4 linked regions of the Macaca mulatta genome follow. The protein of the gene in region 4 purifies or fractionates together with the protein of the main gene of each other region. This does not show direct contact. Links are inferred from orthologs where the notes say so. Each region holds a gene or a part of one and is shown on either strand. Other genes may lie near its edges.

Evidence for each region. Proteins that work in one complex are often made in the same cells at the same time.
Region 1: the proteins of PPP1CA (region 4) and RASSF7 purify together in Homo sapiens (affinity purification with mass spectrometry; 3 studies listed by BioGRID and IntAct, counting the BioPlex papers as one, with this or other methods). This does not show direct contact. The link is inferred for Macaca mulatta from reciprocal best matches to the Homo sapiens genes PPP1CA and RASSF7.
Region 2: the proteins of PPP1CA (region 4) and GSK3B purify together in Homo sapiens (affinity purification with mass spectrometry; 4 studies listed by BioGRID and IntAct, with this or other methods). This does not show direct contact. The link is inferred for Macaca mulatta from reciprocal best matches to the Homo sapiens genes PPP1CA and GSK3B.
Region 3: the proteins of PPP1CA (region 4) and PEAK1 purify together in Homo sapiens (affinity purification with mass spectrometry; 3 studies listed by BioGRID and IntAct, counting the BioPlex papers as one, with this or other methods). This does not show direct contact. The link is inferred for Macaca mulatta from reciprocal best matches to the Homo sapiens genes PPP1CA and PEAK1.

Annotation. Positions count from the first base shown.
Region 1 is NC_133419.1:450,810-456,038, reverse strand, and holds the end of RASSF7 (ras association domain-containing protein 7), read right to left. Parts: intron 4,846-5,229; exon of another isoform or gene 4,355-4,845; intron 4,070-4,354; coding exon 3,939-4,069; intron 3,681-3,938; coding exon 2,983-3,680; intron 2,575-2,982; coding exon 2,446-2,574; exon of another isoform or gene 2,368-2,445; coding exon 2,286-2,367; coding exon of another isoform or gene 2,207-2,285; coding exon 2,178-2,206; coding exon of another isoform or gene 2,122-2,177; 3' UTR 1,747-2,121; downstream 1-1,746. UniProt on the Homo sapiens protein: Negatively regulates stress-induced JNK activation and apoptosis by promoting MAP2K7 phosphorylation and inhibiting its ability to activate JNK.
Region 2 is NC_133407.1:163,859,708-163,865,832, forward strand, and holds part of GSK3B (glycogen synthase kinase-3 beta), read left to right. Parts: intron 1-2,566; coding exon 2,567-2,753; intron 2,754-6,125. UniProt on the Homo sapiens protein: Constitutively active protein kinase that acts as a negative regulator in the hormonal control of glucose homeostasis, Wnt signaling and regulation of transcription factors and microtubules, by phosphorylating and inactivating glycogen synthase (GYS1 or GYS2), EIF2B, CTNNB1/beta-catenin, APC, AXIN1, DPYSL2/CRMP2, JUN, NFATC1/NFATC, MAPT/TAU and MACF1.
Region 3 is NC_133412.1:55,255,153-55,261,277, forward strand, and holds part of PEAK1 (inactive tyrosine-protein kinase PEAK1), read right to left. Parts: intron 3,763-6,125; coding exon 2,599-3,762; 3' UTR 1-2,598. UniProt on the Homo sapiens protein: Probable catalytically inactive kinase. Scaffolding protein that regulates the cytoskeleton to control cell spreading and migration by modulating focal adhesion dynamics. Acts as a scaffold for mediating EGFR signaling.
Region 4 is NC_133419.1:6,981,878-6,986,170, forward strand, and holds the start of PPP1CA (serine/threonine-protein phosphatase PP1-alpha catalytic subunit), read left to right. Parts: upstream 1-1,493; 5' UTR 1,494-1,569; coding exon 1,570-1,624; intron 1,625-2,150; coding exon 2,151-2,282; intron 2,283-2,431; coding exon 2,432-2,662; intron 2,663-3,689; coding exon 3,690-3,794; intron 3,795-4,138; coding exon 4,139-4,293. UniProt on the Homo sapiens protein: Protein phosphatase that associates with over 200 regulatory proteins to form highly specific holoenzymes which dephosphorylate hundreds of biological targets.

The DNA.
Region 1 (5,229 bases), about 6.5 Mb from region 4:
CAGCTAATTTTTTGTATTTTTAGTAGAGACAGGGTTTCACCGTGTTAGCCAGGATGGTCTCGATCTCCTGACCTCGTGATCCGCCCACCTCGGCCTCCCAAAGTGCTGGGATTACAGGCATGAGCCACTGTGCCTGGCCAACATTGCAATTTTTTTTTTTTTTTTTTTTGAGACGGAGTCTCGCTCTGTCGCCCAGGCTGGAGTGCAGTGGCCGGATCTCAGCTCACTGCAAGCTCCGCCTCCCGGGTTCACGCCATTCTCCGGCCTCAGCCTCCCGAGTAGCTGGGACTACAGGCGCCCGCCATCTCGCCCGGCTAGTTTTTTGTATTTCTTAATAGAGACGGGGTTTCACCGTGTTAGCCAGGATGGTCTCGATCTCCTGACCTCGTGATCCGCCCACCTTGGCCTCCCAAAGTGCTGGGATTACAGGCTTGAGCCACCGCGCCCGGCCATCATTGCAATATTTTTTTTAACGATTTTTTCTTTAAGCTCATCAGCTATTAGTGTATTCCATGTGTGGCCCAAGACAATTCTTCCAGTGTGGCCCAGGGAAGCCAAAAGATTGGACACCCCTGACCTAGGGCATCCCCATCCTCTGTCCCAGTCCCACCCATGGCTGTACCCAGGTGTAGGGGTCCCCCACATTCTTCTCTAACTCTAACCATGGCCCCTGGAGTTGGGGGTGTATGGCTTACCATGAGGACCAGGAGAGGTGACAGCTAGCCCAAGGGCCCAGGCAGGGGCTGGGCTGGGATGTGGACACGATTTTTTTTTTTTTTAATTTTGGAGACAGTCTTGCTCTGTCACCCAGGCTGGAGTGCAGTGGCGGGATCTCGGCTCACCGCAACCTCCACACCCCGGGTTCGTGCCATTCTCCTGCCTCAGCCTCCCGAGTAGCTGGGACTACAGGTGCCCACCATCATGCCCGGTTAATTTTTTGTATTTTTAGTAGAGACAGGGTTTCACCATGTTAGTCAGGATGGTTTCGATCTCCTAACCTCGTAATCCATCCACCTCAGCCTCCCAAAGTGCTGGGATTACAGGTGTGAGCCACCGCGCCTGGCCAATTTTTTTGTATTTTTAGTAGAGATGAGGTTTCATCACGTTGGCCAGGCTGGTCTCTAACTCCTGATCTCAGGTGATCCCCCCCTTCAGCTTCCCAAAGTGCTGGCATTATAGGTATGGGCCACTGTGCCCGGCCCCTGCCCCAATATCAAAGCTTCAAGCTCATAGCAGACATTTCACACCCACCTGGGGAGGAGGAGGGAGCCCCTGCCCACTAGTACCCATGCCCTCCCTGGGTTGGTGAAGTGGCCTGGGCCTGGCTGACCTGAGTCTGGGACCCGCCCCCACAAGTTCTCAGTAAACCTGACGGGCGGGTCTAGCTTGTCCTGGTGTCCTCAGTTCCTGCTGCTGGTGGGGCCCAGGCAACAGGATGACGGAAATCAGGTGGGAGGGGGTGCAGACAAGCCCAGGACAGTCAGGCTGGGCTGAACCAGCAGGCCCACCAGGCTGGGGCCTCACAGGAGAGCCCCTGGGGTTAGGTGAGGCAGAGCAGGTGGAATGTGGAGCCCAGGAAGCCCCAGCCCTGGGCCCTACTGAGCACTGGTGCCTGAGGGACCCAATTCTCAGACACTCCAGCTGTGGCGTGCCCCAGGTGTCTCAAGGTACTGCTCAGTGGCACCCCGTGGAGGCTCAAGTTCAAGGCCTCAGACCCTGCCCGGCGCAGCTTCGGCACACAATCAAGCCGCTTCCGGCAGTTTATTGAGGTTTTCACGTTGGGGTAAGGGAAGTGGCACACACGTGCTTTTGCCATGTACACACAGTGAAGGACCCCTCCCATAGGCAAGCACATGCTCACAGCTTGAGCACACTGTCCATGCATCTCCTGTCCCCAACAGGCAGTCGTGGCCTTGGGGGCCTGGCAGGTTCTGAGCTGGCTACGCCCCATGCTTTTCCAGGGTGCTGGCAGACCAGCAAGGACTAGGGCAGTCCCCCCCTGTACCCCAGCTCCTGAGGCCAAACCCAGGGCTTCCCACTGTGTGGGGGAGGAGCCCTCTGTGACCACCAACTCTCCTTCTGTGGTGTGGGCAGGCTGGTCTCGAAGCCCTCACTAGGCTGTCACAGAGGCTGGGGTTGGGCTGCCAGAGGACACCACTCTGGGGCAGGAGCTGCTGCTACCTCCAGTTCTGCTTCATGGGGGCCACTGCGGGAGGACACAGGCTGAGGTGGCTGCAGCCACAGGAGGGCCCAGTGCCCCAGGGGGAGGTGGAGCACAGACATACCCTCGGGGCCTAGGCTGGGCACCAGCATGGGACTCGGGGGGTTGCCCAGGAGGGACTCCTCTCTGGCTGAAGGCAGAGGGCCCTGTGGGTTGGGAAGTCAGCTTGGAGTGGGGCTGGGCCAGGTCCTCACCTCCCAGCCTCCCCCAAGAACCACTCCGACCTGAGTGCCAGGAGGGCCCCTGTCAGGCCGTGGGGGCGGTGGCAGCGCAGCCCCAGTCTGCTGGATGAACTGTTGCAGGTTGCACTGACGGAGTTCCCGGTTCAGCTCCTCCAGCTCCTGAGCCTGAGCCTGGGGGCACATGGGACCCTCAGGAGGTATAGCCACAGGGCTCCATGCTCAGGCCCCAGAGGGAGTGCTCTCCTGAGTCGGACCCTGTGACCCCCATATCTGCCGGTGTCAGGGGTGGGGGAGTGACAGGGGATCAGGTCCCCAGGCTCACCTGCCTCCCGAGTAGGACCCTGTGACCCCCATGTCTACCTGTGTCAAGGATGGGGGAGTGACAGGGATCGGGTCCACAGGTTCACCTGCCTCCCCAGTCGGACCCTGTGACCCCTATATTTGCCCGTATCAGGGGTGGGGGAGTGACAGGGGATCAGGTCCCCAGGCTCACCTGCCCCCCAGGTCAGACCCTGTGACCCCCGAATCTGCCGGTATAAGGGGTGGGGAAGTGACAGAGGAACAGGTCCCCAGGCTCACCTGCAGGGCTCGCTCTGCAGCCTCCAGGGCCCGGCTCACCAGAGCCAGGCTGCCCTGCACCTCCGCACTCTGCCGCTCCTGAACAGCCAGGTCCTGGCGCAGGCGCTCAGTGGCAGATGCCATAGGTGAGGGGGGCCCAGGGGCCTCCGCTGCCAGCTGCAGCTCAGCCTCCAGGGCACAGGCCTGAGCATCCAGGGCCTGCAGCCGGGCGGCATGCTCAGCAGTGGCCGCACTTAGCGCCTGCAGGCGTGCCTGTCCCTCTCGCTCCCGGGCTTGCTCCCGACGCAGTTCCTGTTCCCAGAAGGCCTCGTGGCCCAGCTCCTCAGCGTTCCTCTGCACCCTGAGCTCCAGGCCCCGCAGGTCTGTGCAGCAACCTGGTGTGGGTGTCACAGAGGCCGCAGGCCCAGGGTGTGAGAGGCTGGGGGCTGGCCCGGGGGTCAGTGTTTTGCGGGGCTCACAGCCCAGCGCTGCCCGTGGCTTTGCAGGGAGGCTGGCACGAATTGGGCAGCGTTCCGGGGGTGGACAGTTGTCTGAGGAGGGCCTCCCAGCCAGGCTGGGCCCTGTGCGCCTCAGGACAAACTGGACATCACTGGCGAACTGTCCGCAGGTGGCCTGGGCGCCCACTGGACACTCCTCTGGCAGCAGCTGCCGCTCCTTCTCCCTAAGCCGCTGCACAAGCACAAAGCGGCCAGTCTGGCCTGGGGGGGAGAGGAGAAGATCAGCCTATGTCCCCCCAACTCTCTGTCCACCTGGCTTAAGGAATTGGGGAGGACCAAAAGGATCAGCAACCAGTCCCACTCTCCTCCGGGGGGTGCCACGGGGCTGGACCACTCTCCTCCGGGGGGGGGGGTGGCCACGGGGCTGGACCACTCTCCTTCTGGGGGACCATGGGGCCGGACCACCAGGTCCCACTTCAGCTCTACCTGCCCAGCCTGCCTAACCCCAAGAGGACTCACCTATTGCTTGGGCCAGTGCGATGACCACTTCCTGGCAGGTGGTCTGCTCCGAGACCCCACAGACCACACGCTGGATGCCATCCACCCACACCTTCAGCTCCATGGCCGCCAGCCCCAACAACATCCCTGTTCTGTGGGGAGGGTGCAGGCCACAGGGTCAGGACCTACCTACCCCTATCAAAGCCTGGTCCTCCTCTCTTCCTTCTCCTGGACTGCCCTAGAAACGGCTGGGCTGCGACCCCTCAGCATGGGCCCAACCCTCCTGTGCCAGCCCCACCCGCCGGCCACACATTCCTAGGGTGGCGGCCCTCCGGAGCACGCATCCTCCCCCACTTCACCAGCCTACTCTTGCCACGCCCGCACTCCCGGAACAAGGAGAATCATTAACCAGATCCAGGATTTCCTGCCCGCCTCACCTGGCTCGGAGGGCACTGCCCCCTCCCCGGGCGGCGCGGAGGCGCCCGCACGCCAGGCCCCGCGGCCGCCGCCATGGGAACGCCCCACCCGGACCTGCTCAGGCCGCAGAGGCGCTCGGGGTCGCGACCAAGACCTCGACCCTGCAGATCGGGCGTACTCGGGGTCTGAACAGCCCCAGCCACCGCGGGGAGCCCCGCCGCTGCCGCCCAATCGCTGCACTCGCCCCGAAGGTCCCGGTCCCCGCGGCAGGCAGGGATGCCCGCGCCGCGACCCCAGCCTGGCGGGAGCCAGGGCGTCCCCGCTCCGCAGGGAGGGCGCAGGTGCGGCACCGCCCCCGCCCTCCGTCCCGGCATCGCGGAAAACTCTCCCCAGTTGGAGTCGGCGCCCTGCCGGCTAGAGGAGCGCCCCGCACTCGAGAGGCCCCGGGACCCCGCGCGGCTCACCTGGGCGCTCGCCAGCCTCTGTACCCGCTCAGGCGCCGCCGCAACCTGCCGCCCCCAGCGCCGCGGCGCGCCCCGGACCCGCGCCCCCATTGGCCCGCGGCCCGCACGCCCCGCCCCCAGCGCCTCTATTGGCTGCTCAGCGCGGGTGTTCCGCCCCCTCCCCCGCGCCCATTGGCTGTCTCTGTCACGCCCCTCCCCGATCCATTGGCCTGCCGCAGCGCCCCGCCCCCAGAGACTCCAGGTATGGGCGGGTCGGAGGGACGGGCCGAGCCGCGGTCCCCGCCCCCACCTCCACCCGGCTAACAACGCGGAAACGCGGCGGCTGCTACCCGCGGGCTGCGCGTCGAGACAGGTGTCCGACCCTGCTCCTGGGCCGACTTCGTCAGCAGCCTTCTAGTGTGTGGCGGGTTCCCGCCCAGGGAGGGTCTCTG
Region 2 (6,125 bases), on a different chromosome or scaffold from region 4:
GGGGGAAATCTTTTTTGAGAGGCTAAACAATTATTCATTCTTGAAATGTAATAGTAAACGATGTAAGTAGCTGTGATTTCTGTTTTTATTCACTGTATGGCATAGGTTTCGTTTATAGTATATTTAGATTGTCAGTCTCTTGGGTGATTCATTGACATCTAGGCTGAAGTTTAGGAATTGTGGGATTTTAAGATTATTATTTCTATTACAAGAATAAATATTGATGAAGATCCATGAAACCAAAGGTCTGAGTGTTAAGCAATTTCATTGAGTAAGGAAAGAAGTGACAGTGGAAGCTTCTTTAATTAAAAGACAAATTTCAGTTCTTGGTGGTTTCCTTTTCTTTAGAAGCAAAAATAATTCAGATGAGCTAGTTTCTAGTTTGCCCTGTAATTTTTAGAAGTTACATGCTAACTCACCCTGTATTATGGTCAGAAATCTGAACTGTGGGAGATACTGGGTTTTGACCCTACATAGTTTTCCACTTAACCTTTATTCACAGAGTACTGAACCAAGGCTTTTCTCATCAAGAATCTCTCAAGGGTTTAAAATAACAGTGTATACGTTTTGTAAAGGCAGGTTAAATCTTGATTTTAAAGTAGGCTCTTGGCATGTATTATTTTCTTTATTGTTTTTAACTGTTGAATTTCGTGAGTTACGATTCTCTGACAAATATACGCTAATAAATGTCTTAGTACCAATATGGATGATCACTTGTAGCCAGTAAAACACCAAAAGAGATGGGTGACTTAAAAAAATAGCAGAAACAAGCTTGTAATACAGGTTTATTAACAGCTTTAACACAAAATCTTTGAAAATATAACATGAAATTTTTTTATTTAAAATAACTCAGTGCCCAGCCATCCTACATTTGAATGTTAGCAGGAGATATTTATTTCTACTTTTGGTGCTGCTTTTAATTCCACTTATGTGCTGCCATATTGGTGCAAAAACATTTTGGATTAGCTGGCAAAATAAATTCTTATACTATCAAACAGAAGCAAACTTGCCTTCAGGGATAAAATATGCCAATGGTGTTTAATATTTTTACAAAAATGTTCTGGGTTTTCCCACTGATTATTTTCTTTTTACATTCTGTATATGATTATAGACCTTGGGAGCAAGAGAGGGGACCAATAACAGTAGAAGAGCTGAACCTTTCAAATTTGACAGTAACTCTAAGGTTTCCTTGACTGAGGCAAGTCAGAGTATTCAAAAGAATAGATGAGGCGGGTTTTGACCTTACAAAAAGGTTTCTTTTTAACATAACCAAGAAATTAACTGAGGCCTTTCTTTATGTTCTGAAATAATTTCCTAAGAGCCTGCTTTACCTAATTTCTCAATTTTCATGGAAAATGTCTTTTTCAATAATAAACTAAAAACAAATACAATCCTCTTTTCACTGTAGACAGTACTCATAAATAGTCTCTGGAAAGTCTAATGAGCTCTGTAGTTGTAACTAGTTCTAACCATCAGCATAAGTGAACAACCAGATGTTATATGAGCCATTCTTACTAGGAAACCTTAGCCTCCCAGGCTGCTCCATGCCCTGTCACAATCTGCATGGACTTTTCTCACTTGTGGGTCTGTTTGCCTCCATTTATAAGTGTCTACTTCTCTGTCCACCTCCGGTTGTATGTTCTTCCTGTCGAGGGATATATGTTTCATTTTTCTTTAGTTCCAAAGGCTTCTCGTCTGTTTATTTCTGTTCCTTACCTTTTTATTTTTATTCTGTAGGTGGCCATAATTTAGAATGAAGCATATTTTTATAGTTTTTGATGATTAGTTTTATTTAAGACACAAATTAGTAGAAAGCTATCTATTCCTTTAAGTAGATCAATTTAATTGAATTTTTCTTCAATATTGCCTTCAGCTCACTTTTTCTGTGTCTTAATCATTCTTAATGGATAATACATTTTTTTTCTCCTTGATTAAAACCCTGGAATATTCATTCAAGTGGGGGAAATCTGGCCATATTCATGGTAACACCTACTTGAGAAAAAAAAAATAGGACATTTAATCAAATTCAAGGTATTCAAGAATTTCTTCAAATAATGGTAGGCTCTGTTTATTGGAAATAATACCAAATCAGTAGCATTTATAGACCTAGAGTAAATAGCTCTTCTTTCTTTTCTTTTTGATTGCCAAATTTTTGAACAGTACTGCCCATCATTAACAATTGTTCTGCTAAAAAACAATGCAAAAGAGGCAATCTTTTATTTACTGCCATAGCAGTGAAAACTTTAAAATTTAAGAAATAATTTTCTAGTTGTACTTGCCTCCAGAACTCAGCCTTTCCCGTGTGCCTATCATATTTTGTATGCATGTCTGATTGTTGTTACTTTATGATTAGCATATATAGATTTTTCTCCGAGCATTTCTCATATAATCTTTAATTAGCAATTCACTCCTGTGAATCATATGCATTTAACTTTTTCCATTCTAGAAGGTCCTTTCCCAAATGCAACCATGTTTCTGTGCATGGTGGTAATTAAGTCATTGCTCACAGGGTATTTACTTAGTTTCTTAAAACATTAATTATTCTTTCCCTTTTTTTGTACTGCAGGTCTTCCGACCCCGAACTCCACCAGAGGCAATTGCACTGTGTAGCCGTCTGCTGGAGTATACGCCAACTGCCCGACTAACACCACTGGAAGCTTGTGCACATTCATTTTTTGATGAATTACGGGACCCAAATGTCAAACTACCAAATGGGCGAGACACACCTGCACTCTTCAACTTCACCACTCAAGGTAAATCCAAACACTTTGCTCTTCACCAGTTCTAGGAAAGCTACACACTGGGTGTGAAATGACATTCTATTAATTAAAATCTGTGGGAGACAAAAATGGACATATTAAGTACTTAGGTAGGCGAAAAGAGCATCCTTTCTAACTTAATGGTCACTACTTATATGATTTTGAAGAAAAGAGTAGCACATAAAAGTTTTCCAATAGGCATAGCTTCTTTAATTTTTAGCAGAATATAATGTTGGCACAGGAGAAGTTACAGAGAGTTCAGTGAGTGAAGTTTATCACTAATTGGACTAATGTACAATTTAACCTTTAGGTTTGGATCTGAAACTTAAAATAGTAGCATTTCTTGCTTCCCTAGAGTTTGTATCAAGTTTTTTTAAACCTGGAATGAATTGGCTATATTTGTATAAATTCAGTTGTCTTCCAAACAGGAGGAAAACTGGAGCCCTATAAACCCTTTCTAAGAACTTAAACAAACAATAGAGACAAGGAAATTTCCATCCCCTCTGAGATTTGGCACCATCGCTGCTGCAGAGAAAATACTGAAAGGAAAACTAACTTTGTGCATTGTGGTTTCTGGAAGACCTTGGGATAGTCACTATTTCTTCACTATTTCTGTGTTCAGTTTTCTTTTCTCCTTGATTAAGACCTAAGTGATTCATTCATTCAGTCACACTACCTCTGATGATGTGACTTTCTTCTTACACTGAGCATAAAAAATGTACAATTCATTACCAAAAAAAACACAGTTGATGTATTGATTAGTAAGCATACTCAGGCTAGAAAACAGAAAAGGGAGATGTTGAGCTTTCTGTGAAAGAAAGAAATCTATTTCCTTTATTCATATATATCATATCTTTCTTTTAAAAAAAAAAAAAGAAGACTCTTTTATTTTGGTATTTTAAAATATGTTTGCCCAGCACATTAGATATAAATATGATGTGGGTCTTGAACATTTATGTTTTTGAGGGTTTGGAGAATGCATTTATATTTGGATGTAATGTGTATAGATAGAGTGTGTGGTCTCTGTGGTTATCAGAGTGTTTATGTGATTCTGAGTATCAGTGAAAAACTGGACCCTGTAAACACAGTCATGTATTCCTTAGTGATGCAGATATGTTCTGAGAAATGTGTCATTCAGCAATTTTCGTCCTTGGGCAGACGTCACAGAGTGTGCTTATGCCTACTTATTATTGAAAGTGCTGTCATTTTGAGATATGGCCCCTTTTTAAAAAGTGTTAAAATGCTCTGTCTTAGCACCCATTCTGAAACTGAGCTGTAATCACAAAGTAGTACTTTCTCACGGTCTTTGTAAATCACTATTGTTACTGTTTTTGAACAGTGTTTCTATGTAAGATGTCCAGGGAAGAGAGGTTTTTTTTGTTGTTGTTATTGTTTTTGTTTTTTGTTTTTTTTTGTTTGTTTTGTTTTGAGACGGAGTCTCACTCTGTCACTCAGGCTGGAGTGCAGTGGCATGATCTTGCCTCACTGCAAGCTCCACCTCCCAGATTCAAACAATTCTTGTGCCTCAGCCTCCTTAGTAGCTGGGATTACAGGCACCTGCCACCATGCCTGGCTAATTTTTGTATTTTCAGTAGAGACGGGGTTTCACCATGTTGGCCAGACTGGTTTTAAACTCCTGACCTCAGGTGATCTGCCTGCCTTGGCCTCCCAGAGTGCTAGGATTACAGGTGTGAGCCACCATGCCTAGCCTTGATGCCATTGTATTTGATATGATACTCTGTATTCTAATTTTGGAGCAGTGTTTCCAAATGGTGATCTTGTTTTCTGAGGCAGCTGTAACTGTGTACAGATGCAACTTTAAAGCACATGCTAGTTAGTAGTAATTAATGGATGACCAGAATAAAACTGGGTAATCCAAGGGGTTGAAGAAGGAGAATCAATCTTCCAGTTGGTTGTATAGCTAAAGGAAATCTAGAGATAGAAACATTGTGGGGGGTCTGGTTGAAGGGTGAGGGATATTAGTGAGGTTCTTCTAAAGGCAGCATAAAGCCCTCCTCCATCCTCATAACAAATTGTCAGTGACATCTGCAGCACTGCTTCCCCCAAATAAAATAAAGATCTACATATAGTAGGTGCTCAATGAATGTATGAGTGCCATGTACCACTTTAAATAAACATAATATTCATTAATTCATACAACCAGTATTTTTGGGGCATTTCTAATGTTCCCTCTGGTTGTCATTACTATTGTTTTAATTTCTAAAGTAAACCTGCTATATATACGGAACTATAAAGATTAAACACTTGAGTAAAATATAGTGTTTTATTAAGGTAAAGCTTACAATAAAGCTAACTGCAATTTGATGTTTGTTACTGTACCATGGAGTAATTAGCCATAAACAGTAATTAGCATTACTTTCATATAATCACAATATTTCCATATTCAGATAGAGGAAGGAGAGAGATGAACAGATATGAGATGGACAACTTTGAGATCTTTCTGATTGCCTAAATCCATAACTCAGGAGAACATCAGACCTCTCTCATTTTTCCAGCACTGAAGCTTCAGTGTTCCAGGACCCCATGACTGACAATATTATCTGCTCTCAGATGTTGGAAATTGGAATAAACCTTTGGCACACCCCCTTCTTTCCATTTCTTCCTGTCATTAGAATTTCAAATTCAGCCATAGCTGAATCAGACCTTAGGAAGCAGATAGAATCAGGAAAGCCCAGTAAGGATCAGTATTTTCTTATTAACTAATTTGTTGCCTATTCCAAGGCTGGAATATATTAGGAAATCAATTGTTTTGTATGTTTAAAGGTGAGTCTTCCCCAAACTCTATCACACACATCCCCAATCTCAGTTTTTTACCTAATTTGTATGAAATTTTACCAATTGAAGTTATTTAGTAAATATTGTCCTCCTAAGAGTATAGGGTAGGATGGAGGTGGTAAAGATATTATCCGTTTACTTTAGTATGAGCTAATGTAAACATTCTATTCCTCTACCACTTGGCAGGATTATGTGAGAGAATGGTAGCTTTGTGGGGAGATAAGTAAGAGTGGCAGCATGTTGGCTAGGCCAGAAGAAGCAGTGATTTAATAACTCTGGGGAACTGTTAATTGAGAGTTGAAATGGGATATTTGGGGCAGCCATTGAGCAATATGCAGACTCAGACAGACTGAATATTTTGAGGCGGGGAGTAAGAGTATCTGGACATGAAAAAAGCAGGTGATGAGATAGAAAAGGTGTTCCAGAAAGCAAGTAAATAAAAGAACAGTAAAAGGGAGACTAAGGTATAAAAAACAAAGGAAAATAAGGAAAGCGTTAGAAAATATTTTTTGAAAGAGTATAAGAATGTGTTACAAAATAGGAATTGATGAAAACATGGAATTGAAAATG
Region 3 (6,125 bases), on a different chromosome or scaffold from region 4:
TTTGCATTCATCTTTTGCCCTTAACAAATCTGAACATAAAAACAGTACTAAAAACATCTGATGTGAAGAGGTGCTTGGTTTACCAGTGCTGTAAGATAATGGTAGTGGAGGTGTCCATGCTTATTATACCATAGAGTTAAAGTAAAGACTGGATCCAAATCATAACAGAAAAAGAGCAAGAAAGAAAGAACAAAAAAGATATGTAGAGACATAACAAATAGAGGGACCAGGGAACATTCTGCATTAAATATGTAACCTTATTAAACAGTCAACATTCAAATTTACATGGGCAAGGCACCACGAACGTGACATTGAGAAGGTATATCTCAATATGCAAGCCATTGCAAGGTGGGAGGTGGGGGAGGTTAAGGGAATATGCTGGCTGACATGGTCAGTGGTCTGTGTGCTGCCACTTCAGTGCATAATCAGGCAAGGAGTTATGTGCACATGGTCTATACTAAGATGAACCAAACACCAACCTTCAAGGCAAGGAGCGGCTGTGCCAGAGGATACCAAGAGTGGACTGCTGGCCTGCAGCAGCATGCCCACTCCATGGCCATTCCTAGGAGCAGAGCCCTGCACTCTGGCTAGAGGAGGCAAGACTCTTTGTGGGCTAACCAGCCTTCCTCCCTGTGAATCCTATATTGCTGGCCAGGTGATAAGGACATTCTCCATATAGAGCCTCACATATTCCAATCACTTAAAAAAATAATAAGAGCACAATAAAATACATTATTCTCCTTTCCTGATCCTCTTTCATATACATGAATCACATGAAAGGCTGTTAAAAATGTTAAAAGTTTAGAAATTTCCAAGGCCACTAATGTGCTATGTAAGTAATACTGCACAATCAGTCTTGGCTTTAAGGAAACTCTGCACTGGTAGATGAGGGGCCTCAGGGCTCACTCACTCACTAGGCACAGAGAACATGTCTGTCAACCCTGCCACAGGTTGCTTCTCTAGAGGCGTGGCCTCTACTTCCAGCATGCGTGTGCACGCACACATGGGCACACAAGTGTACACACACATTGTTCGAGTGACTCTTGGGATTTCAAGGTCAAAGTAAACACATACTCACAGTTTTGAATAAAACAAGCACAGGTGCACATGTGTATACACACACACAAACACACACACACACACACACACCCCCCAGTGGAAGGAACGCTCATCTCTTAGCGCAAATATGTGCCAAGGGAAGAAGGGGGAAGGTTTCTGTAGACTCGCTTCAGGTGAAGTTGCAACATAAACACTGTAATATACAGCTAAAAAAATACATACAAAAATTGCACATATATCCATAGGAGGGGAGCACAGGCTGCACACATGGTGAACAGCTCTCAATCACCCACCTCAGCAATCAGAATTCTCGTGAGCTGTCCTCCAGAGCCATTTTAGAGAGAGTCAGAAGGAACAATGAGCCACTTACACTGGGAGGCAGTCTCTCTAAAAGAGGTCAACATTCTAAGGAGGTCAGCAGTCTCATCAGTGGCCTTCTTCCCCTCCCCTGCCTACGGCCATCCCAACAGCCCACCTCACTGTGCCCTGTAAGATCTTAGAGCTCCACCGACAGCTATTTCATTCAGGGCAATTGTTTACAGCATTTGCTAAACTAGTTAACACTGGCTACTGATAGAAGGGAGCTGGCCAATTACTGCTCAGGGGAAAACTGCAAATGCTGACAGTTCTGACAGTAATCAAAGGGTACTTTAAACTCTGTTCCCTGATGGCCCCTAGAGAATTGCACATGCAAGAAAATCATCTCCTCATGCCCTGCCAGCTATTTATAAGCTCTGAACTGCACTCCACCCTGCTGAGGCATTGGTGACACCACCTTGGGTCAGCTCTGTAATGGGCCACAAGTGGCTGATAAATCCAAACATCACTGGCAAGTGGGGACAGAGTAGAGAATCAGGCAGTGGCAGCAGAGGGGAGACTATTAGGGCTGTCCTCCATGCAGTGCACATACTTACAGATAATGGCAATGAAAATGGGTTGATGACCCAAGGATGGGATCTCTCCTTTTCTTTCTACTCTCTCCTGGAACAAAGGATATAGTCCCTGGTAACCAAAACTGGGCTGATGCTAAAGATGGCAGTTCTGCCTAGTAAGTCAGTTGTTGACACCTTAAAGGAAGAGTCTGTTGTCAGAGTCTACTGGGTCATGGTAGAGACTGGTTAAGTCTGTCTACTGCTAGTGAGAATAAATACTCGGTGCTAAAAAGATAGGTGATATCCAGAATTATAGAAGAAATGGACACAGCTCACTGGCTCACTGAGTTCATACCAAAGAAGCTGTCCCTTCAAGAATATGGATTTTCATTTTTACCTGCATTTTCTTCTATTAGGATAGAAGGTGTTTCAAAGGAAGGCAACCGCAAGTTTGTGCAGCTGAATTTCTGTAAAGTTAAGACAGACTCAGCTTCTCATTCAATTTGGGGCAGTGGATAACCTTTCTGAATGGACCTACTTGTTCATGGACAGGGATAGAGGTTTGTCTTTCTTCTTTCCTTGAATTTGGAGTGAGCACTAGGAAGGGGAAGTGCATGGGTGACATGAAGAAGGTGAAGATGTGGTAAAAGCAGCATCCAGGTACACATTAACGGTGCTGTAGAATTTTCACAATACAACTGAGGGAGTCTGTAGTGGCAAAAGCCAAATACTGAGCACAAAGCCAGTCCTCAAGGCTGATCCCACCTTCCCTGTCCAGGGACTTCTCAGCAAACTTGATCATGAGCAGTGTTCGCTTGATGTCTAGCCAGTTTTGGAGCAGGGTGTTCCTCTGCACTAGGCTAGGGCAGGCGGTGAAAGTCTGGAAGAGATCTTCGCGGGGGCCCCAGAGCAGACACTGGAGGATGCCTTTGGCGTCTGAAATGAGGATCCGCTCAGAAGGGTTGGGATTCAGGAGGCAGCTGGCCAGCTGCTGCAGACCCCGGGAGTAGGGGGAGCGGAGCGGGATGCGAGGCAGGTCTGCTCGTGTGTATTCCCTCTCCTTCAGCTCTGGGTTCTCATCAAAGGGGTTGGGTAGGTGCAGCATCTCATAGATAAGGATGCCTGTCTGGAACTCATCACACTTTTTATACTGGGTAGCTGTTATGATCTCTGGGGCAAGGCGAGACTGGTCCCGGAGGATCTCGGGGTCCACCAGATGGCTCTTCTGTTTGGCCTGAGAGAAGTTGCTCACTATAAGCCTAGTGGGATAAGATGAGGTGGGGCTGGGCTCCGCAGGCCCAAAGCCTTGGGCAGTGCCCCCAGGCTGGTAGTGGACAAGTAGCAGGTTCTCTAGGCGTAGATCGCAGTGAGTGACATGGTAGGGTTTGAGGTGCTCAAGACCAGAGCATAGCTGTAAGAGCAGCAGACACACCTGCCTCTCATACAAATCAGGGCTTTTCCCATGCTGGGCTAGAGAGTCTCGCACAAAATCAGCCACAGTGAGACATGGAACTTCCCTGGTGATGACTACAACATGGCTCCTCTGCTTCTTGCTCATGACTCCCTGGCTGTCTTTCTGGGATGATGCTGCTTCAGAACAGGGCTTTGGGTTTTTCCCATCCGTTTCTCCTTTGGCTTCTTCTTCAGTCTCTTCCATGTCATCCTCTTCCTTTTCAGGGTCATCAGGATCCTCCCAGGGAAGCAGACGGTTAGGGACTTCAGCAAGGAAATGACCACAGTCCTGCTGAATGTTAAAATGGACAGCCAGACTCTGCCGGACAGCCAAGCTGTGATAATACTGCTGAGATTCTTTAGCTTTGCTCTTACAGATCTGAAAGATAATAAAACAATTTAAAACTCACACTCTCATAACCATGTTTATGATGTATCAGGAGGATTAACTACAAGGTGACTGGTTAGGGACAAACGATCATATAGTAAAGTTGTTAGCAAGGCTTGCCCCATGTTAAGTGACAATAATAATGGTGGTAACCGTTTCTCATGGTTGTCTACACATTCCAGGCTGTGGTGAGCACTTTCTGTGTACCATTTTTAGTCCTCACATTAACCTTTCAAAGTAGATTAAGGATCTAAGAATTTAAAAAAGAAAAAAAGCCCAGGGTTATGTTTGCAAACCTAAGTTTGTGTAATGCCAAAGCCTGCTCTTTCCACTATAACCTTGCACCTCATCAGAACAACAATGAAATAATTTTTCACTTACTTCTGTAGAGGTTTGTAGCCCAGACTGATAGAGCGGGCCAACAGACTCATAATGGAGACCAGAATACCTTATTTCATCACCCATCACCCTTTGTGTCAACATCTCACAGGGAAGGAGAGGGATATAACATTGGCCAGGTAAACTGTGGGTTTTCCTAACTTTTCAGTGAATGTCATTGTGATGGTCACAACACTGGCACTCATGGATCACTGGTAGGGTTGAGAGAGTCACTGGTCTGACCTAGTCAGAACAAAACCATCATTTCAATGGCGGTTGTCTGAGTTTTATGCTTTCTCTTAACAGGCCTCATTTAACACCCGCTATTGAGGCAATAAGACCTTTCCTAAAGAACTTTATTAAGTGGTTATGGATCAAGGAAGAATTTTTTGATCAAAAAAAGTTAGCCAAGAGTTCTATATACTGTGATGATTGTATTTCTACTCTAAGGGGTTATCAAACCAAAAAGTAAAACCACCCCCAAATGGGCTATCCTCATGCTATAGAGAGGCTGACAGTGGAAGACTCAAGTCTCTAATACTAGTTCATGGATCATAATAGTCTGGCCTGGAGTCCGCTCCACAGCCCTGTTAACTGAGGGTCATTCTCTGCTGTCCCTCCTCAGCAGGGGCACACTGCCACATATTACAAATATCAAAGGCTTCCAGCAACATGCACTCTCTGTAGTGTTTACACTGCGTGTTTATTACAATAATACAGAAAAGCAAATTTTAAAAAAGCAATTTTTAGTAATTTTTATTTAAAAAGAAAAATGTATACATTCTTAGGAGGATTCAGATGGGTCCCCAGTTCTGAGAAGCAGCACATTCTGATTTCCATTCAAATACATTAAAAAAACAAAAACAAAAACAAATCAAAGGCAAGGGAGTCTCAAGGGAAAAAAGCATCTCTCTCTCTCTCTCTCTCTCTCTCTCTTATTCTCTAGTTTATCATATTTATTACAGTTAAAGAGGTTTGATGTCAGTGACCAGTGCCATGGAAATCAATCAATCAATCAATCAATCTATACCTAAGCACAATTTCCTTCAAGTCTTCTACTCTATCTAATTCAGTTTGAGGATATACAAAGTATTTCTTTTTTAAGCAAACTTCTGGTCTTGAACAGACGTCCCCAGCCTGAGTTCAAGTTCAAACATATATCTTTCAGAAAATATTATCTCTGGAAAGCTCTCGAAGTCTTAGTATATGCAGTATAATATATAATCCTATATGCTCATCAATCATAACATTTGTTATTTTTATAACTGCACTGTTGGCAATATTTCACATTTAAGTGTTACCAGGTATTTAAAAATTCTATACTAGTCATTGTTTAGTTGCACAGGAGTTGGATCCAGCACATGGCACCATGAACCCCATTGCCAGTTAAGTTTGCCGAATATTACATCGTCTTCTGGAATGAAAGTTCAAGGGTCTCAACTCTTCAATCTTTTTTTTTTTTTTTTTTTTGTTGAGACGGAGTCTCGCTCTGTCGCCCGGGCTGGAGTGCAGTGGCCGGATCTCAGCTCACTGCAAGCTCCGCCTCCCGGGTTTACGCCATTCTCCTGCCTCAGCCTCCCGTGTAGCTGGGACTACAGGCGCCCGCCACCTCGCCCGGCTAATTTTTTGTATTTTTAGTAGAGACGGGGTTTCACCGTGTTAGCCAGGATGGTCTCGATCTCCTGACCTCGTGATCCGCCCGTCTCGGCCTCCCAAAGTGCTAGGATTACAGGCTTGAGCCACCGCGCCCGGCCTCAACTCTTCAATCTTTGAAAATGCTATCAAATACATCCAAATTTAGCTGGATCAGATTGGATGGTTAAACTCTAGCTGTTACATTATAAAAAAGGACACTCTCCAAGGGCTTGGGAGGCCTGGGATTTAGTTTTGCTACTAGCTGTATAACCTTGGGCATTTCACTAATTTCTCTGGGTCTCAGTCTCCCTATTAAAGGGGACAATATAAAGAACATTGAA
Region 4 (4,293 bases):
TGGTCTCAAGAGATCCTCCTGCCTCAGCCTCCCTAGTAGCTGGGACTGCAGGCGTGCACCACCATGCCCAGCTAATTTTTGTATTTTTTTGTTGAGATGAGGTTTCGCCGTGTTGCCCAGGCTGGACGCAAGAGACCATCCCACCTCAGCCTCCCAAAGTGCTGGAATTACAGGCCTAAGCCGCCACAGCAGGCCCACCTCCAGTTCTGAGGTTACTGGCATGTAAAGCACCCAACTCAGGGTTCCAACAAGAATTAAGGTTAATTTATCGTCTGCTCCTTTGAGACAGAGTCTCACACTGTCACCTCGGCTAGGGGGTGCAATGGGCCTTGGCCCACTGCAACCTCCGCCTCCCAGGTTCAAGTGATTCTCCTGCCTCAGCCTCCCCAATAGCTGAGATTACAGGCGGCTGCCATCATGCCCAGCTAACTTTTTGTATTTTTAGAGAGATGGGGTTTCACCATGTTGGCCAGGCTGGTCTTGAACTCCTGACCTCAAACGATCCTCCCACCTCAGCCTCCCAAAGCGCTGGAATTACAGGCGTGAGCCACTGCACCCAGCCATGTCTGCTCATATAGTAATTCTTTTTACGTGCACACCCTGCAATATTACTGTGCTACTCAAAAGCTAATTATGGGGCCAGGCTTGTTGGCTCACGCCTGTAACCCCCCCAGGACTTTGGGAGGTCGAGGCCAGTGGATCACTTGAGGTTAGGAGTTCAAGACCAGCCGGGCCAATATGGCGAAACCCCACCTCTGCTAAACACACAAAAACCAGGCGCAGTGGCGCGCGCCTGCAATCCCAGCTACTCCAGAGGCTGAGGCAGGAGAACCCCTTGAACCTGGGAAGCGAATGTTGCAGTGAGCCAAAGTCGCGCCACTGCACTCCAGCTTAGGCGACAGAGCAAAACTCTGTCTCAAAAAAAATAAATAAATAAAAGCTAATTATGGGACTTGTAAGAAAATATTAATTTATCATGCCCCAAGGACCAAAGTGCGCTGGAAGTTCAGCCGTAGCTGTCTTTGAGTGTGGTCAGCCGCCTGGGGGCCACGGAGACCCACGAAAAAGGGGGTCGTACGTGAATGCGAGGTCCAGGTCTTGCACCAGTCTGTTCATATCTCTTGAGCCTCAGTTTCCTTTCCTGCACTTCGAGCAGTTAACCCTCAGTGCCTAGCAGCCGGTTATTAATATATTCACAACACCCTCCACCCAGGGCAGGGGTGGGAACGGCTGTTCTGCTTTTGAAAGAGAAAAACAACTTCCACAGTTCTTCCGGCCCCACATCCTCTGAACCGGGCTGGGCGCCTCCTCTGGGGCGTAACCAGTTGGACGCGCCCCCGACAGACCCCGCCGCCAAGGCCCCGCCCCCCAGGCCGCGGCGCTTCACGTCCAGCGGGGGCGCTAGAGCGCGGGGGACCGGGCGGGGCGGGCCCGGGAGGCCCGGAGGCGGGGCCGCGGGCCGGGGGCGGACTGGGGCGGGCGGAAGGAGAGCCAGGCCGGAAGGAGGCTGCCGGAGGGCGGGAGGCAGGAGCGGGCCCGGAGCTGCTGGGCTGGAGCGGCGGCGCCGCCATGTCCGATAGCGAGAAGCTCAACCTTGACTCGATCATCGGGCGCCTGCTAGAAGGTTGGTCGCGGCGGGGGAGGCCTGCGTCCGCCGCTCCCGGGCCCCCTGCCGGGCCCGGAAGTGGCGCGCGGGCGGGCCCCCGGGGCCAGCTTAGACTGGGCGGGGACGGGCCGCGAGGTTCGGTGGCCGCAGCCGCCCCCCCGCGGACGCGCCTGAGAGGTCCTGGGCCCGCTCCGACGCGCGGAGCAGCCCCCTCTCCCGGGCCGGGGGCGCACGGGTTGCCTGGGTTCTTGAGGCGAGGGAGAAACCCGGGAAGCCCGGTCCAGGAAGGGGTCCTGCGCTGTGAGGTGTTTGGGTGGCAGCCCCCTGCGCACGACAGTCGCCTCCCGAGGCGCTGAGGGTAGTTGGGGGCTTCCCTTGGGAGGCTTGAGGCCGAGGTCCCGGGAGGCTCAGCAGCAACAGCTGCCTGCGGGCAAGGAGCGGCCGAGGAGGCCTAGGCGCCCCCGGAGGTATCCATGGGGCCACCCGTGTCGCCCACCCTCCACCTGTCAGGGTCCCGGGTCTTGACACCCCATTGCGCCCCCAGTGCAGGGCTCGCGGCCTGGCAAGAATGTACAGCTGACAGAGAACGAGATCCGCGGCCTGTGCCTGAAATCCCGGGAGATTTTCCTGAGCCAGCCCATTCTTCTGGAGCTGGAGGCACCCCTCAAGATCTGCGGTGAGCCCCCCGACCCAGGTCCCCTTGCTTTCCTGAAAGTGGCACTGGCCCCCACAGAGTTCCTGGAGTCCTCCTCCCTTGAGCCCAGTCCTGGTCCTGGGTTCAGGTCTAGACCCTGCATCTAGCTTACCCGATTCCCTGGGTCACAGGTGATATACACGGCCAGTACTATGACCTTCTGCGACTATTTGAGTATGGCGGTTTCCCTCCGGAGAGCAACTACCTCTTTCTGGGGGACTATGTGGACAGGGGCAAGCAGTCCTTGGAGACCATCTGCCTGCTGCTGGCCTATAAGATCAAGTACCCCGAGAACTTCTTCCTGCTCCGTGGGAACCACGAGTGCGCCAGCATCAACCGCATCTACGGTTTCTACGATGAGTGTGAGTGGTCTGAGCGTCTGGGGCTGCCCGGGTCCTGAACCACACTCCTTGTCATTCAGTGGGACCTTCACATTGGCCTGATATCTGACAGACACTTGCTAGACTGTGCACTCCACGAAGGCAGGGCCCAGGTCCGTTCTTGTGCCTGCCCTGCCCCTCCTGGCATGGGGTCTGGGGAATGGTTGCTGACTGAAGGACTGTCCGTATTCTAGTGCTTTCCCCCAGGGCCCTGCCTGGTGACGTTCCCTCTACATTTGCTACTAAGCATTTAGGATGTTTGCAGATGAGCTCTGCTGTCCAGAAGCTGAGATAAACCAGACCTGTACTTGGCCCGGCTCGTGGGCCGGGGCGTGCAAGGAGTGCCAACCCTGAGGCTGGTCCAGATTGGAACTCAGTTTCCAGTGGACTCGGGTGCTTTAGAATTACTTCTGGTGGGAGGCTGAGGCGGGAAGATCACTTGGACTCAGAAGCTCCAAGTTACAGTGAGCTATGATCTTGCCACTGCACTCCAGCCTGGGTGACTGAACAAGACCCTGTTTCTTTACTTTTTTGAGACGGAGTTTCGCTCTTGTTGCCCAGGCTGGAGTGCAGTGGTGTGATCTCAGTTCACTACAACCTCCATCTCCCGGGTTCAAGCGATTCTCCTGCCTCAGCCTCCCGAGTAGCTGGGATTACAGGCATGCGACACCACGCCTGGCTAATTTTTTTGTATTTTAGTAGAGACAGGGTTTCTCCATGTTGGTCAGGCTGGTCTTGAACTTCTGACCTCAGGTGATCTGCCTGCTTCAGCCTCCCAAAGTGCTGGGATTACAGGTGTGAGCCACCATGCCCTGCCCAGATCCTGTTTGTTTAAATTACAAATTAAAATAAAAAGTAACTAGAATTACTCCTGGAAGGCTGACAGGCGGCAGGGGTGGGGGTGGTTTGCATTGGTGCCTGACTCTCTCCCATCTGCGGCTGAATAGCCCAGAGACCCCGGCTAAGGGTGGAGCAGGCAGACCCCTCACAGCTACCTCCCTCTGGGCAGGCAAGAGACGCTACAACATCAAACTGTGGAAAACGTTCACTGACTGCTTCAACTGCCTGCCCATTGCGGCCATAGTGGACGAAAAGATCTTTTGCTGCCACGGAGGTGAGCTCTCCTTAGTTGTCATCTGGGAAGTCACTCCTTTCAGGAAGTGTCTCCCATACCCCCCTGTGCTGGGCTGCACTCACTTCCTTGATGTGCATCCTACATGGGGCGGGCTTGTCTCCTTTCTCCCAGGAGCTCTGTGCTCCGGAGGCCAGGGGCGCCTTTGTGCCTGTTTGGGAACTTGAAAAAGCTGAGGGGAAGGGGATGGCTTCTGCCTGCCTAGGCACCCAGGAGACCAGTGGAGGGACCAGGAGGGTGGTGGAAAAGGTGAGGCTCACTGGCCAAGGCTTCCTGGAGGAAGGATGTCCTTGTTTGAGGAAGTGACCTTCCTTCTGGCCCTCCAGGCCTCTCCCCGGACCTGCAGTCCATGGAGCAGATTCGGCGGATCATGCGGCCCACAGACGTGCCTGACCAGGGCCTGCTGTGTGACCTGCTGTGGTCTGACCCTGACAAGGACGTGCAGGGCTGGGGCGAGAACGACCGTGGCGTCTCTTTTACC